Drosophila melanogaster: one gene and its partner. The protein of the gene in region 1 interacts with the protein of each later gene in a pairwise test. Each region holds a gene or a part of one and is shown on either strand. Other genes may lie near its edges.

Region 1 (8,464 bases):
TAGGATAGCTGCGGATAGAATTTGCCGCGCGACTGCTTCCACTTCATCGACTGGACGAGCTCATCGTATACCATATGCGCGTCCTTGCCGCGTGCCTTAATCAATTTGGGCAGTTCATTCTGATACCACTGATCCAGGCGGATCAGCTCTTGCGGCTTCTTGCAGCGCTTCTCGGCCTTTAGCTTAAGAACCTGGGGATAGAGCTGGTAGCAGTACTCGAACTGTTTGGTGCTCCCGGTCTCGAAGAACGAGACCGTCGCCTTGCCGTTGGACATCTTCTGCGGATGCGGATGTGTCGTTGTCGCCTGCTAATGATTGGTGGTATCGCTGTATCTCCTTATCGTGGTATCTATCGCCTTGGGGCCCAGGACGTTGGCTGATCCGCAAGTGACCGGCTGGCTATATATGCGGCAATATATGTACTTTGGTGTAAGCTACTATACGCCAAATCAATTTATTGCTTACTGTTTAGTCTCCTGCTTTTCCTGTCCGTTCCGAGCTGCTCCTGTCAACGTACTGCTATTCGTGCGTTGAGAGTTCCCGGCGAGAAAGAAGCGAGTACGTGAGAGACAGAGAGAATGCGAGTGCGAGAGAGGGAGCACGAAGAAGCAGCAACGCAAAGGAGAGTGGATGAAAAGAGAAGAAAAGAGGCACACAATTAGGTTTACAGTTACGATTACATATGCAAGGGGGATCGGTGCGGTGGCATAGGGAGGTAGTTCGATTGATTACTGTTAATGCTGCTGCTGCTGCGGCCGTGTCTCTGTTGTTTGTTGTATTTACTCAATCCGATAATCGCTCACTATTTGCCAAAAATCTGCTCGCTTCCGCCGCCGTTTGCACAGCACACAAATCGAATTTTTACAGTGCTGTCGTCGGGTTCTTTTTAGTCCGCCATGCACTCACACAGTCAAACTGACAGGCACACGGATGGACACACACACACTTACTCAGCACACTCGCTCTCGCACACCCAAAGAGAGCCAGGCGCTCATACACAGGCAAAAACACGCACACAACACACACACTGACTTAAACACGCACACACTTATATACTGAGGCAACAACAGCAGCAGCAGAAAATTTCTTTTTCATCTAGGTTTTCAAAAAAAATACGAACGCGAGCATTAAATAAACGAATGCTACTATTTTTCGCTGTTGTTGTTGTTTGTGCTTTTTTCGTACCTCTTGTCTTTTTGGCAAACGGTGAGAACAGCTTTTCACTAGCGCACTGCACGCACACAGATGAGTGGGTGAACAACAAATACCTTTTAGTTAGTCGCCGCCAGTCTTCCTTTCCGTCCACATCCAAACAACTACTCCAATGCTTTGCTGTTTTTCTGTGTTGCCTCTGCTTTGCTTTGCTTCGCTTCGCCTCTGTGCTTGTGCTGTGCTGCGTGCTTCGTGCTGTGCCCGTGCTGTGCTGCTTCTTCTTCTTCCTCTGCTGTTTCAGTTTCTGCTTTCTGCCTGCAGGGGCGCCGTTGACAACTGACAAATAAAAAGGGGTTACTCTGTTCTCGAAATGAGCACGCCACCGAAGGCACAACAAAAAATTAAAAAGGATCGGAGCGGAGCGATGCAGCTGTGCGATGTGCTGCTAACTCGTGTGACGGGAATTGGGAATTGGGATTGCGAATGGGAATGGGAGGGAATACGAGAAGCGAATATGGGAATGACGAACGACGACGAACCGGGAACAGGAGTTGTCGTTCTATCTCGCCCGCACTCGGTGCCCGAATGTATCTGTATCTCTCTGGCACCCTCGGCGTTCCATTTCATTTTGCCGGCGACGTCCGTGCTCTCTGCCGCCGCTCTGCCATCGCCTCTGCCGCTGCGTTTATGCGCAGTGCGTCATTACACGAATACCTGTTTAAAGCGGAGGCATAAACGCGGCTTTGTCGATCAACATCCATGTTACCGAAACCCATGTTCGAGTTATAGAAACTTCGAGTAACAAATATCTATATTCTAGCAATGTTTACCCTTATTAGCTTAGTTAGTGCAATTATGTTTCATGTTTTTACAAACAGCAGAATGTTTTTAACAATAGTTATCTCTATATTCAGGTCCTTCAATTAAATCAAAAAGGAATGGGTTTTGTGAGTGGGTTGGGCTCCAGTGAGACTTGTTAATAATTTAAGAATTCGCGATATTCTAGTGTAAACAGCGCGTCACTGCATGTTCGCTGCTTTTGTTGTGCCAGTTGCCAGCGACAGCGGCGTCGTGTCATTATTCATATTCATGAGGGGGTGCGTCAGGTTTGCTGAATTTTACTGACTTGTTTGCGCGAACCGAAATTATTTATGGTTCAGCACGAAGAGCGATAGAAATTCATGCATATGTTGTTGGTTGGTTAAAAAGTTGCCCTTACATGCAGTTAAGTGCATATAATTTGTCTACTTGCGCATTTATTAAAAATGCATACATATTAAATAATGTACTTAATTACTCAGCGGTTTGAGGGTTGGAGCATTTACAGATGACACTGTAGTGATCAAATGGTAGCTATACATGTATAAATATCTAAAATATTACAAAACTATTCCAGCGTTCAAGCATTAACTAATTCGAGAACAGCTGCTGGTTCCATAATCGAGTACACACGTGTGCTACTCAAAGTCTAAGCTGAGAGAGCGGTCGAGCGGCAACTTGATATTTAAAAAACAGAACCCTACTTAACAGTCGACTCAAGTTCGATCCCCCCGCAGGTACGCCCCTCAGTTCACCTATCGCTCGTTTGCCTTTGCCGCCATCATTCGCTGTTGCCGTTTTTACCCTATTCGTCGAGCAACATACATAGCAGCTGCAATTTTGCTGTTTCTGTTTGTGGCTTCCATGTGCCTGCCATTCGTTCATTATACCCTTGTATAGAGCATTATCACTTTTTCAGATAGCGGCAATCCTATCTAATACATTATCAATATGATCAATTATATGGTTTCATATGTACTTCAGTGCGATTGGCTTTCCAATTTGATGATCTACTGAAATAAGCTTTTATCAATTGCTGCAAAATCGATCAAGCGAAATTTAATTTATTAGAAAATATTCCACTATAGAGCATCAAAACGTCGGCTAGACCCAGATAGCTTCCTTTTCTCGCGGCGATATGCGTGCGATATATCGCATCGATACTCGATGCGGATGCCCATCTGTTTTGCGACATTTTCCCGCTTTCCCTGTTGCAAAACCCGTTTTTCGAATTATAAATTCGAGTATTTTTTAAAACTTATAATGATTCATTTTCTAAAATCCCCACTGGAGAGCGACATTCGAATTCGTAGTGGTTGAATTTGTATTCTCTCTTTGCCATGACACAGCTGTATGTATTAATCATTCGGTATACAAGCAACTTTTTCGCACAGGCCCCTTTCCAAATCAACTACGTCTCTGTGTGTGCGACTCGCTCGTTTTTGTATTTTGCCATTCTCGCTGTTCACGCACCAATACACACAAGTGGTTGTTCAAAGTTGCCAGATTAACCTTTTACCGGTGCCAGACTGTTTTAAACTTGAAGAGGATGATGTACTTGTACTTATATATTTTTTGTGACTAAAAATTAAATTCTTAAAAAAAAACGAACATAATTCCATTTCATTGTTATTTATTAATATATAGTTCCCCTTAACAACATGTGTATATTTTTTTAAATCGATGATCAGCTGGCCTTGCCTGTCTATCGATTGCCCTTTTTGGCATCTCTAGTCCTATTCATCGAAATTTTATTTTGTATCCGGACGTGGTCCCCCAACACTTTCAGATCTCTCCAAGCGTTCCGTGCATCATGTTGACCAGGTCCATTTTATCCGTTGCCGTGTGTGGCCTCCTCCTGTCGCCCCTCCTGCCCATCACCCGTGCGTCCCAGGAGGAGGACACCGGCAAACAGGACAAGCAGTTCACCGTGGAACTGGACCCAGAAACCTTCGACACTGCGATTGCCGGCGGCAATGTCTTCGTCAAGTTCTTTGCTCCATGGTGAGTTGCAATTCGATTTGGGTTCCTCAACCCCTCCATTCCGCCCTGCGCTTACAACCTGAACGAAATAAAAAATCGCCGTCCCAAATTGGCCAACTTTTGCCGGCGAATCGCGGCGGTCCACATAGGTCGTCTATTTTATGTGACCAAGCCACGCACACATAATTATCAGTGGGTGTTTTGGTTTTCACTTTCATTCAATTTCTGGCAATTTTCTTGTAATGAAACAGATTAGCCTATGCCTGTTAAAAATCAACAAGTATTTACATAAATGAAATTTAGCTCACCAAAAATGGTCTAAATGGTCTTAAAAAGCGTGAATAAGTATTTATTTAGCAATTTTACAATTGCCAACTTTATTTGTAGTATTAATAATATGAACTGCTAATCCTAAAAAAACAATTATTTCCAATAGAGAAATTCATATTATTGCAAAAATAGCGAAATATGTACCCTCATAAATCCTAAAGAATTGGAATCTGAAAACCAGAACATACATTTTGTTAAAATTTGTATATTTCGGCGTGTTAGAAATTTACCTGACGATCGTGAGTGACATAAATTCGCGACCCCGGCAATTTGGTCAAAAACTAAAGATCCGGAGAATTGAAGATTCGTCATGTCTGTCGAGCAAATCGCACGTTCGCCGATAAGACGATCAAAGGGGCTTTGGTGTCCCCCTTGATTGACAAACTAAATACTCCAGATTTCGGCAACTATTATAGTTTTCATAGCGCCCGGCTCTCACGTCTTATCAAGAAGCCATCGCAATGCCTATGAGCTAATTTGATTAGGTTCAATTATGATGCTAGAAAGTGCCCTGCGATTAGAGGAGGGAGTTTAAGGAAGCTCGAAATGCGATTCGGCGGCTCTAGCAACCAGATGATAAACTCTTTGTTCGGGACAAAGCGCCAAGTCTTATCGCTGTTCATTGTTTTGTGTTCCTTTGTATTTGGACGGGGAAAACAATGTGAGTTTGACCGATTTATCGATTCCTATTTCAAAATCAATTTAATCGCAATAGATTAGGTGTTGAATATGGTTTGTTAGATGTGCGTCATACAGAATTCGTATCCATTTCATATGGCATCTTTTAATCGTAGGTGCGGCCATTGCAAGCGTATTCAGCCGCTGTGGGAACAGCTGGCCGAGATCATGAATGTGGATAACCCCAAGGTGATCATCGCCAAGGTGGACTGCACCAAGCACCAGGGACTCTGCGCCACGCACCAGGTTACCGGCTATCCCACACTGCGCCTCTTTAAGCTGGGCGAAGAGGAATCGGTCAAGTTTAAGGGCACTCGCGACTTGCCCGCCATTACCGATTTCATCAATAAGGAACTGAGCGCACCCGCTGAGGCGGATCTGGGCGAGGTCAAGCGCGAGCAGGTCGAGAACCTTAATATTGGCAAGGTGGTTGACCTTACCGAAGACACCTTTGCCAAGCACGTGTCCACCGGCAATCACTTTGTCAAATTCTTTGCACCCTGGTGCAGTCATTGTCAGGTAAGCCGAATACAATGCCTTCTCGCCTAAAATGCCTAACTGTGGCATCCTTTTCGTACAGCGTTTGGCACCCACGTGGGAGGACCTGGCCAAGGAGCTGATTAAAGAGCCTACCGTAACTATCTCGAAGATCGACTGCACCCAGTTCCGTTCCATCTGCCAGGACTTTGAGGTCAAGGGGTATCCCACTCTTCTCTGGATCGAGGATGGCAAAAAGATTGAAAAGTACTCGGGTGCTCGCGATCTGTCCACGCTGAAAACGTACGTGGAGAAAATGGTGGGCGTGCCACTGGAGAAGACCGCTGGCGAGGCCGGCGATGAGAAGGTGGTTATCGAGGAGGTTGCCGGCGAGGAGGACGCAGCCAAGAAGCTGACTCCACAACAGCTGACTGGCGAGGACGAGTTCGACCAAGCCATTGCCGAGGGCGTTGCCTTCATTAAGTTCTATGCTCCGTGGTGTGGACACTGCCAGAAGCTGCAACCCACCTGGGAGCAGCTGGCCACGGAAACGCACCAGGCTCAGAGTTCCGTGAAAATTGCCAAGGTTGACTGCACGGCGCCGGAGAACAAGCAAGTGTGCATCGACCAGCAGGTGGAGGGCTATCCAACTCTCTTCCTTTACAAGAATGGTCAGCGCCAGAACGAGTACGAAGGCAGCCGCTCACTGCCGGAGCTGCAGGCCTATCTGAAGAAGTTCCTCGGCCACGACGAGCTCTAAAGCATCTGCCGGTTCACAGGGAATCAGCAGTAGTCGAATGATCAAATAATCGCCCGCCAAATTAATTGTAATCGTAATTTTTCTTTCTCCAGCATAAACCTCTGTGAGGAGTCCGCATTTAATCAATATATCCAACAACACCCAAACGACAACGCGCTAGCTGAAATTGATAAATTCAATCTGAGTTCCTTTTACTTTTTTTTCGTTTTTGTCCCTCTTCCTTAGCTGTTTTTGTAGAATTTTTTTTATACTTATTTGTTTAGTGTTTACGTAAATGGGGCACGGGACTGTGTGCGCGATGATAAGCCATTTAGCGAACTTACATTTCAATTTTAAAGTCATTTTGAGTAGCCTACGTTTTAGGAAAATTTGTCAACACAAAGCTAATAAATATCAATTGGAAAACAATAGGCTGCTGTTTAAAGTATTTTATTATTATCTGTACAATATGGTTTATTTGAATAATTGTTTGGGAAAAACCACTATATAATGTTCTGAGAAGAGCTAAAAAACAGATGTTTGTGGGTTTTTCGAATAAATAGGAGTATGCAAATTTTTAAGCTGACTTATTGGCGTTCTTTAAATATTTGTTTAACACACTTTAAAATCCATTTAGATTTTGATGCCACTTAATAGTGGAGCAGACAGGTTTTTTTGATTTGAAATTTTAGCAGCGCGCGCTGTTGTCGATAACAATTTATCGATTACAGATCTAGTCGAGTCATCGAAAACGGGAAGTTTCAAGTATTTTAATTTGGGCTGCCAGATCTACGTAATGGATAAATGTATTTATATGGCACTTAATTAAATGTTGTGTTATTTTTATCTAAAATTGCGGAACCCGGGAAAATACAACTGAAAATGAAATTGCATTTGTCGGATCCACAAGAATACAATTATTACGGATGCGACGAATCCATCCATATATCGCATATGAAGTGCCATCGGTCTGCCCTGCTGTTTGCAATCCATGCCTGGCACACTGCTGCTGCGATATAAATCGTATCGTGTCTGCATCTGTCTGTCGTTGTTTTTGCATTTGAAGTGAGACTTTTTGCCGTGTCTTTGGCTCGTCCTTACGAAGCCGTCCCGTAGGTTGTCCTTGTGCACGTTGTCAGCGCAGAACAAATCCCTAGCCGGGTGCCAGTCTATACCTAATATCCCCGTTTCCCGATGAACGACAACGGTAACGGCGGAGCAGCGCCAGTCTCCGGTGGAGTGTGCGGTGTTGGTGGTGCGCACGGAGCGGCTGGTGGCGCTGATGGTGCTGGTGGTGCTGGCGGTGGCGGCGGATGCGGGGCTGGCGGTGGAGGTGCTGGTGCAGGTCCGGGCGGGGGTCCCGGGGGCGGAGCAGCTGCTGCGGACCTGGCTGGCGAGGCAGCTGGAGGAGCAGCAGGTGGTGATGCAGCCATTAATAACCAAGCTAATGCCAATGGAACCAGCGAGAGCCCAGCGAAAGGACTTAATTCTAGCGAGGATCTGGACGCCAAGCGGCGCAAGTGTCGCGAAACGGAAGAAGGCCAGGATGAAGCCAGCACGGTGGGTACAACGCCAAAAATGTGATCTTATTTGCCAGATTACCAGCCAAGTGTGTTATCAACATTTATTGATTTTGTCCACTATGAGTGGGGACTAGCTCAGACCATAGTATTAAGTCAAGTTGATCCTGGGAGAATGTGCCCTAATCCTGATCAAATCTTACCCATCTAGATGATCGATGCGAATAGTGTGCTCAATAAGATCGCCAACCTGTACGCCGAACAGCTGATGTCGGACATAGTGCTACTGGTGGACGGCAAGGAGTTTCCCGCCCACCGCGTCATCCTCTGTGCCAGCAGCGACGTCTTTCAGGTGATGCTAATGAATCCGGAGTGGAACGAGTGCAGCAAGCACGTGATCGAATTGCACGAGGAAGCCTGCTGTTCGGCGGTGTTTCCGCAGTTCATCAAGTACCTATACGTTGGCCAAATCGAGGTCACGCTGCAGACGGTGATGCCAATGCTGGCGCTGAGCGACAAGTACAATATACGCGACCTGATCGATCTCTGCGTGGACTACATGAACAAGCACGTGGCCAAGGCGGCCACCAGCGGTTATCTTGTGTCCTGGCTGCAATATACGCTCTCCTTCACGCCCACCCACAACGATCTCACCGAAACACTCAAGCGGTTTCTCAAATGGAACCTCGAGATGGTTGCCGAGTCGCGGGACTTTGTTGAAATGGACCCGGCCATACTGATACTGCTGTTGCAGCAGAACGATCTG
Region 2 (6,543 bases), on another chromosome or scaffold:
CCTTCGAGGACTTGGAGATCACCAGTGTCCTGCTGGACGACATAATCAGCGTGGGTGAGCTGCAGAATTTTTCGCATATCATTCAGCTGAGGGTAAAGTCCCTGCGCGATACCGACGATCTACTGGAGCACGTGGGACTGGAGGATGCCAAGCAGTTCATTGAGGACAACCCGCATCCGAGGCTCTGGCGACTGCTGGCGGAGTCTGCGTTGAAGAAACTGGAACTGGAGACGGCGGAGAACGCCTTTGTCCGTTGTGCCCACTACCCGGGCATTAAGTTGGTCAAGAGACTGCGCACCATACACTCCAAGGAGCTGCAGAGGGCGGAGATATCAGCCTTCTACGGAGAGTTCGAGGAGGCGGAGAAGCTCTACCTGGACGCGGATCGTCGCGATCTGGCCATAGAGCTGCGCATGACCCTTTGCGATTGGTTTCGCGTGGTGCAGCTGTACAGAATGGGAGGATCGGGAGTGTCGGACCAGCAGATGGAGATCGCTTGGCGGGAGATTGGCCACCACTTCGCCAACCTGCGCTCCTGGGAGAGTGCCAGGGAATACTACGAGAAGTCCCACTACCTGGAGGGTTACATGGAGGCTCTGTACCACTTGGAGCAGTTCGACGACTTGGAAAAGTGCGTGGAACGGCTACCGGAGAAGAGCCCGCTGCTTCCGAAGCTGGCCGAGATGCTGGCCTCCGTGGGCATGTGCTCCGAGGCTGTTCAAGCCCATCTTCGATTCGGCGACCAGAAGGCCGCCGTCGCCACCTGCGTTAATCTCCGGCAGTGGGGCGAGGCTGTTGAGCTGGCCCAGAGGTTCCAGCTGCCCCAGGTGCAAACGCTCATAGCCAAGCACGCGGCACAGTTGCTCCAGGAGGGACGCCTCAAGGAAGCCATCGAGATGCAGCGGAATGCTGGGCGTCATCTAGATGCAGCTCGCCTGCTTTCTCAAATGGCGGAACGGGAGCAAGAGAAGCGTGCTCCGCTGCTGAGAATCAAGAAGCTGTACGTGCTGGCTGCTCTGCTGGCCGAGGAGCACCTCAAGGCTGTGGCCACGACGGAGATCGACTACGCCAGCGGCAGGAACACCCTACTGGACTCCATTGCCCTGGAGGATGCGGCCGCCATCGAGAGGCTTTGGCACTGCGCCGAGGCCTACCACTTCATGCTCCTAGCCCAGAGGCAGCTTCGCTTCGGGATCGTCCACAGTGCGGTGGTCACTGCGGTGAGGCTGCGCGACTACGAGGACGTCCTGCCTCCAGAGCACATCTACAGCCTGTTGGCACTGGCCAGCTGTGCGGATCGGGCCTTCGGAACCTGCTCCAAGGCTTTCATGAAGTTGGAGCAACAGGCTCATCTTCCCGAGGCTACCCTTCAACGGTACGAGGAGTTGGCGGCTGGGATCTTCGCCAAGTACGATCCGGAGGACACCACTGGCGATAGGGTGGATTGCTATTCCTGCGGAGTGCCCGTGCCAGATAGGTAAGTGAAGGGTCGACGTCAGAAGCTGGATTATAATGATGATACTCATGGAATGCCGATCCTTTCAGCTCCCCCTCCTGCCCCGAGTGCAATGCTCGCTTCCCGGCGTGCATCTCCTCCGGGAAACCCATCACCCAGCCGACGAACAACATATGGATCTGTACCACCTGCCACCACTGCGCAGCTCCCACCGAGATCTCCAGGCACCGAACTTGCCCACTGTGCCACAGTTTGATCGTGTCCATGACGGTGGAGATCTGAAATGAGCGGGGACTAGTGTTTTAATTACTCCAGCTGTTTTTCATTCTGCTTATCCCAGGTGGTACAGGCGTATCTACTCCGCAAATAAACAATGTAGTTTTAAGATAGAATTCAAATTTATTTTCAAGTGAAAAGTGTTATAAGTGGAAAGAGTGACTGTTCACAGTGAGTATTTCCTGGGGAGTGCGCTAGGGCCACACTACTAGCTCATCCAACACTCGCAAAGCGGTCACACTGGCGAGTGCAGCTAAGTAAGTCGGTTGTCCGTTTCTTGCTGAATTTTAAATAAGTTAAATAAATTTCTGCTTCGTGCGGTGGTGTGCGTACGCAAATATAAAATAAAGTAAATAGTAATTGCGGTGCTTGCGAAAACCAAACGAGCTCCAATTGACCGACGAAAATACTTAAGTGCATTAAAGAATTGCGTTGTTGTGCGTCGCGCCCGTTTGTCCTTATTGTTGTCGTTAGTGGAGTGCACGAAAAGTAATTGTTTTTATTTAAAGAGGTTGCATTTTAATTGCTAAATCAGCTCAGTTGCGAGTAGAGTGCCAAAATAGAGAGTAGCGACAACGAAAACAAGTTTTTGTGGATGGTGAGAAAGTAAAAACAATAGCAAATTTATATATATAGCTATATATATATGTGGTAAGGTGCTGTAAGCATTTAAAAATACAAATCCTCTCGAGGTTTTAATGGCCAAAGTTTCGTAAACGTGTAAATTGAGTGGAATTCGATTGCGAGTGCATTCTTGGTTTGTTTTGAGTGAGAACCGAAAACCAGTTTACACCGTGCTTCTTGCCAAGGTGAGTTTTAACCCCAATCGTGGCAGTTTAACGTTAATTTTAGTCATTGTTATGTTGTTAAAAATAAGTTTTCTTCTGTTAAATGTGCAATTTCGCCTGGTTAGCTTTGTCAGCTCTCTTTCCCTTCCACCTTTCTTCTTTCCCAACGAGCGGTTTGTTTATGACCGCAGTAGTGCACTTGTGTGCGTGTCAATTAGCGCTTTTATCGGGCGCACACCAAGAACAGTTAAACCTGTTCTGGTTTCTCTTTCGCACAATTTAATGGCCTTTCTTTGGCTTTAGTTTTGCGCTTTCGTCGACTTCTTCTTCTTTGTATCTCATGCATGTATCTTTATATCTGTCATTCGGGGAATTGGCAGCAAATCGGCAAACTTCTCTTTCATCGACCCCCTGCGACCAGCACCTCGCTCCCTGGAAACCCGCATCTTGTGGATTCTTTCCAGTTTCCAGATTGCTGCTGAAGCTTCCAGCTGTCACAGCCGCAACAACAACAACGCCAACGGATCAAATGAAAACCCAGCCAGCATAAACTCACACACATCGAAATTGCCTAACTAACGCACACATTAAAATACAGTCGATGCATCGTCACGAAAATAAATAACAATAATAGCCGTTTATAATTTAGATCAAGTCGCAAAAAATTTTTTTGCGTTTAATTCTTTATGAGTACTGATTAAGGTATCAGTTCAGCGATATTTCATATTACTTCTGAATATGGGGGTGCACACAAATTAAGATATATGTAGAAACCGTTCTTATTTTTTATAGAATTCATTAAATAAGTATGGAATAAACTGCGATCATATTTCCCATACAAAGCATTTTTATTTTTCACACAGTTTCCTTAACCAAGCGATTTTAAGCTTAACCTTATATTTCTGACACTGGCAATGGAACTTGATTTTTATTATCATACGTGATTTAATGAACAATGACGCCTGCTTAGGACACGAGCTTCGAAATGCAATGCACAGCGAAAAGTCCCACAAGCCATTGCAAAATTAAAAACTGAAATGGCACTCAGAGGTGCACTCTCCCCACCCTCGGTATCATATCATATCATACCATGCCGTACATGTCACAATGTCTGTTTAGGTTCCTTTATGGAGCCGGGCTTTGTCGTCGCCATGATTACTCAGCTTTATTGATAATGCTGGGTGGAGGAGTGGCAGGGAGTGGCTGGGATGAAACCTCCTGGGATTTCTTGTCCAATGTGGCGGTGGTTAGAGAGCAACCCATGAGTCGGGATGTTAGTTTTCCCCTTATGATTACGACATTCTCTGTTCTCTATCTTTTCGCTTTGGGTTTGCATTATCCAACATTTTTCTTTGCTTTCTCCGTATTGTTGCAAGTGCATTTCGCTTTTGCTGATGATTATGCTTAATTCTTGTTCGTCTGTCTGCATTGCAATGTGTGGGTGCCTTTCCACTAGAATAATATACACATGTTTTCTTGGTTTTCAGCTGAAATCGGTTCTCTTCGCTGAATCAATCGAGAAAGCTTCTAGCTCTATCCAAATTCGGGCTAGAAATCCGAGCTTCGCCCGCTAATTGGCCAATACAAACTGAGGTGTTGAGTGTTTGGCTCACTTGTGAAATGAATACGAAACAGCTGAAATCACTGTTTCTCACTGATACTTCATAATGGCAGCTAACATCCATCCCAAAATAATAACGTTTGAGAACCCTTTGCCTCTTTGCTTTAATTAAACTGTTCACTGAAAGTTTTGATTGGCCTAGCATTTACGTAGTTCACAAATGTAAGACCCTAGACCTCGTGCAAACTGATATTCTTTCAATAATTTCATTTCCTGGGCCAGAACAACTTGTTTTTATACCAAATCTATTTCTTGCCATTGAAATCGTTTATTATTCTTAATAATCGTTTTTGCCAAATGTGCTTTGTCGCCTCGCCAAGGCGTTAAATTGCCCACTGAACGCCAAACATATGCGTTGCGGTTATTGGAGATGTGTATTGTGGATTCAGTAAACTCGACTTTGATTTCGCTATCCAAAGTACAGCTCAAGTGAGGGCTCCTCCTTTGTAGAATAATTCTGTTTATATAAAGCGGGAAGCGACAATCTTTGTTTAGCCTTTATCAAGTGCGCAGTACTTGAAGTTGGGGGAATAGCTGGCTCATTTTCCCCCTATGCTTAAGATTATAGTAATCCAAGTCAAATCCAGATGTTTACATATGCACTGTGCTGAATCAATTGAAAATACATCACAAAATATATACACACAACTTGAAGAATATAAGACCTACTCTTAGCTCTGATGGAGGTTTAATTGGAACGAAAATAGGCAATGCTTATACTTTATAAAATACATATCATTCTAATTGAATGAAATAGACGAATGCCATTGAGTTTTTTTAACAACAAAGCTTTCTCCTTAGTCCGAAAGTATTTCGCAGATTTTCTTTGGTTTGTTTTTGTTTTGTTTTTTTCTTTCGAAAGCTTTCATCGAAAATCAGGAAATTAGTCATATATAAGTACCTACATATGTATACATTATAGACAGATTGCCAGCGGAAACGGACTCGCAACTTACTTCTAATCAATCTTCTATTACCTTTGCTAACATTTTATGGTTCTCCCTCAACTTTTCGTTGACCCCTTCCGATTAAGAACCACTATCAGTGTGCCTCATCGTGTTGTTTCTGCTTGTCCAATACTGGGCGCAGATAAGGGCGAGGTATGATAAATATGAGGTGTGCCAAAAGTACACACATATTGGGAAAGGTCTGAAATACAAACCTGCGAATTGAGCGGTAGATTGACCCGAAGTTCGAGCCTTAGCCAGACTTTTGTGAATGAAATCCGAGTGACTCAGCATTGGAACAGATGCTGGGTATGCGGTATCGATGAATGGTGCATGGATTCGATACTCGATAAAACAAACTGTGCCGAACACGTTTTCCATTGAAAAATCTCGCACACTCGCCTATTATACATACAACTAACAGATCCGTATAGTTTATAGACTATAGTCTAGCATTGTTTAACCTAAGGTGACTCATCCACGACATATTCATTTAGCTCATTAAAACACCAATCAGGCATGTAAACAAATAAGTAAATTGCAAATGTAAGCTCGTTGTCTCGTGCAAGTTCGCATTTTAATATGATCTACATATGCGGAAGGGAAGATTGAGTGGCAAAATGAAACTTAATGGCAATGGGTTAGAGTAACACCCTAGTTTATGGTTAATATTTTTGATTCCAAAGGTTTATACTTTGTTTGAAAAACGTGGACTCTGCTAATCGTTAAAATGAAAGATTTAGCATTCAAATTGCAAATTAAATTAGACCGGATTGTTTGGTTCACACGATTTCGTTGTCCATCGTAAATTTGTATGATGTTACGGGATGATTTGGTATTATTCTATTAGTCTTTGTCCATGACCGGATTACGCACCTTCCGTTCCGTGGATCTGCTTATATATAGAGAGACTGAATTAGTCACCTACAACAGAACAAATATCAGTGAACCTCATCGCTGTTGTAATGGATGAGAATGACTGCGGCGGTCTTATCATCCACCCTTATCACTTGTAAAATCTTGAGCAAAGTCGAGGGGTATGCCAAATGGTTATCTCTTTCTACTTTAGGTTATATTGCCCCAGTTGTATATTATCGTTTCGGCTATCTTAAGGATTGTAATATGTATCTAAGAGGGCGAACACATTCACGATCTGCTCTAAAACGTGAACGTTCTATTAACACTGGGTTTCGAACAATTTCTCGTTTAAAATTTATTTGGCGCCGTTGGCAGTTCATCACGCGATTTCTTGCTAATGACGGCCTTGACAAACACCACTTTCTGATGAGTTAAGGGAGCACCTGCCGTGCGATTAAGTGAATCAGATTTCTCGCTGGCAAGAAATGAAACCAACAATTATCTTTGCAATATAAATATAGATTGTGGATCACGACAATCCCCCAGTTAATTGTACGTACTTTCCAACTGACCAGACATGGCTGGCCCGTGCTTCAT

The links.
Region 2: the proteins of prtp (region 1) and drpr interact in binary tests that used the Drosophila melanogaster proteins (3 or more experiments, as listed by UniProt).

The regions. Positions count from the first base shown.
Region 1 is NC_004354.4:11,713,290-11,721,753, forward strand, and holds prtp (pretaporter), read left to right. Parts: upstream 1-3,466; 5' UTR 3,467-3,525; exon of another isoform or gene 3,526-3,531; intron 3,532-3,678; exon of another isoform or gene 3,679-3,760; 5' UTR 3,761-3,784; coding exon 3,785-3,975; intron 3,976-4,700; exon of another isoform or gene 4,701-4,943; coding exon of another isoform or gene 4,944-4,945; intron 4,946-5,078; coding exon 5,079-5,481; intron 5,482-5,542; coding exon 5,543-6,199; 3' UTR 6,200-6,605; downstream 6,606-8,464. Other genes in the region: amun, read right to left, coding at 1-275; Tango10 (transport and golgi organization 10), read left to right, coding at 7,373-7,738, 7,910-8,464. UniProt on the Drosophila melanogaster protein: Possesses thioredoxin activity. Acts as a ligand for Drpr and is required for the phagocytosis of apoptotic cells. Binds to the extracellular region of Drpr and augments Drpr tyrosine phosphorylation.
Region 2 is NT_037436.4:1,726,523-1,733,065, reverse strand, and holds the start of drpr (draper), read left to right. Parts: upstream 1-1,958; 5' UTR 1,959-2,541; intron 2,542-6,543. Other genes in the region: Oseg4 (outer segment 4), read left to right, coding at 1-1,477, 1,546-1,738. UniProt on the Drosophila melanogaster protein: Receptor which is involved in the phagocytosis of a variety of cells including apoptotic cells, severed and pruned axons, degenerating dendrites, salivary gland cells, germline cells and bacteria.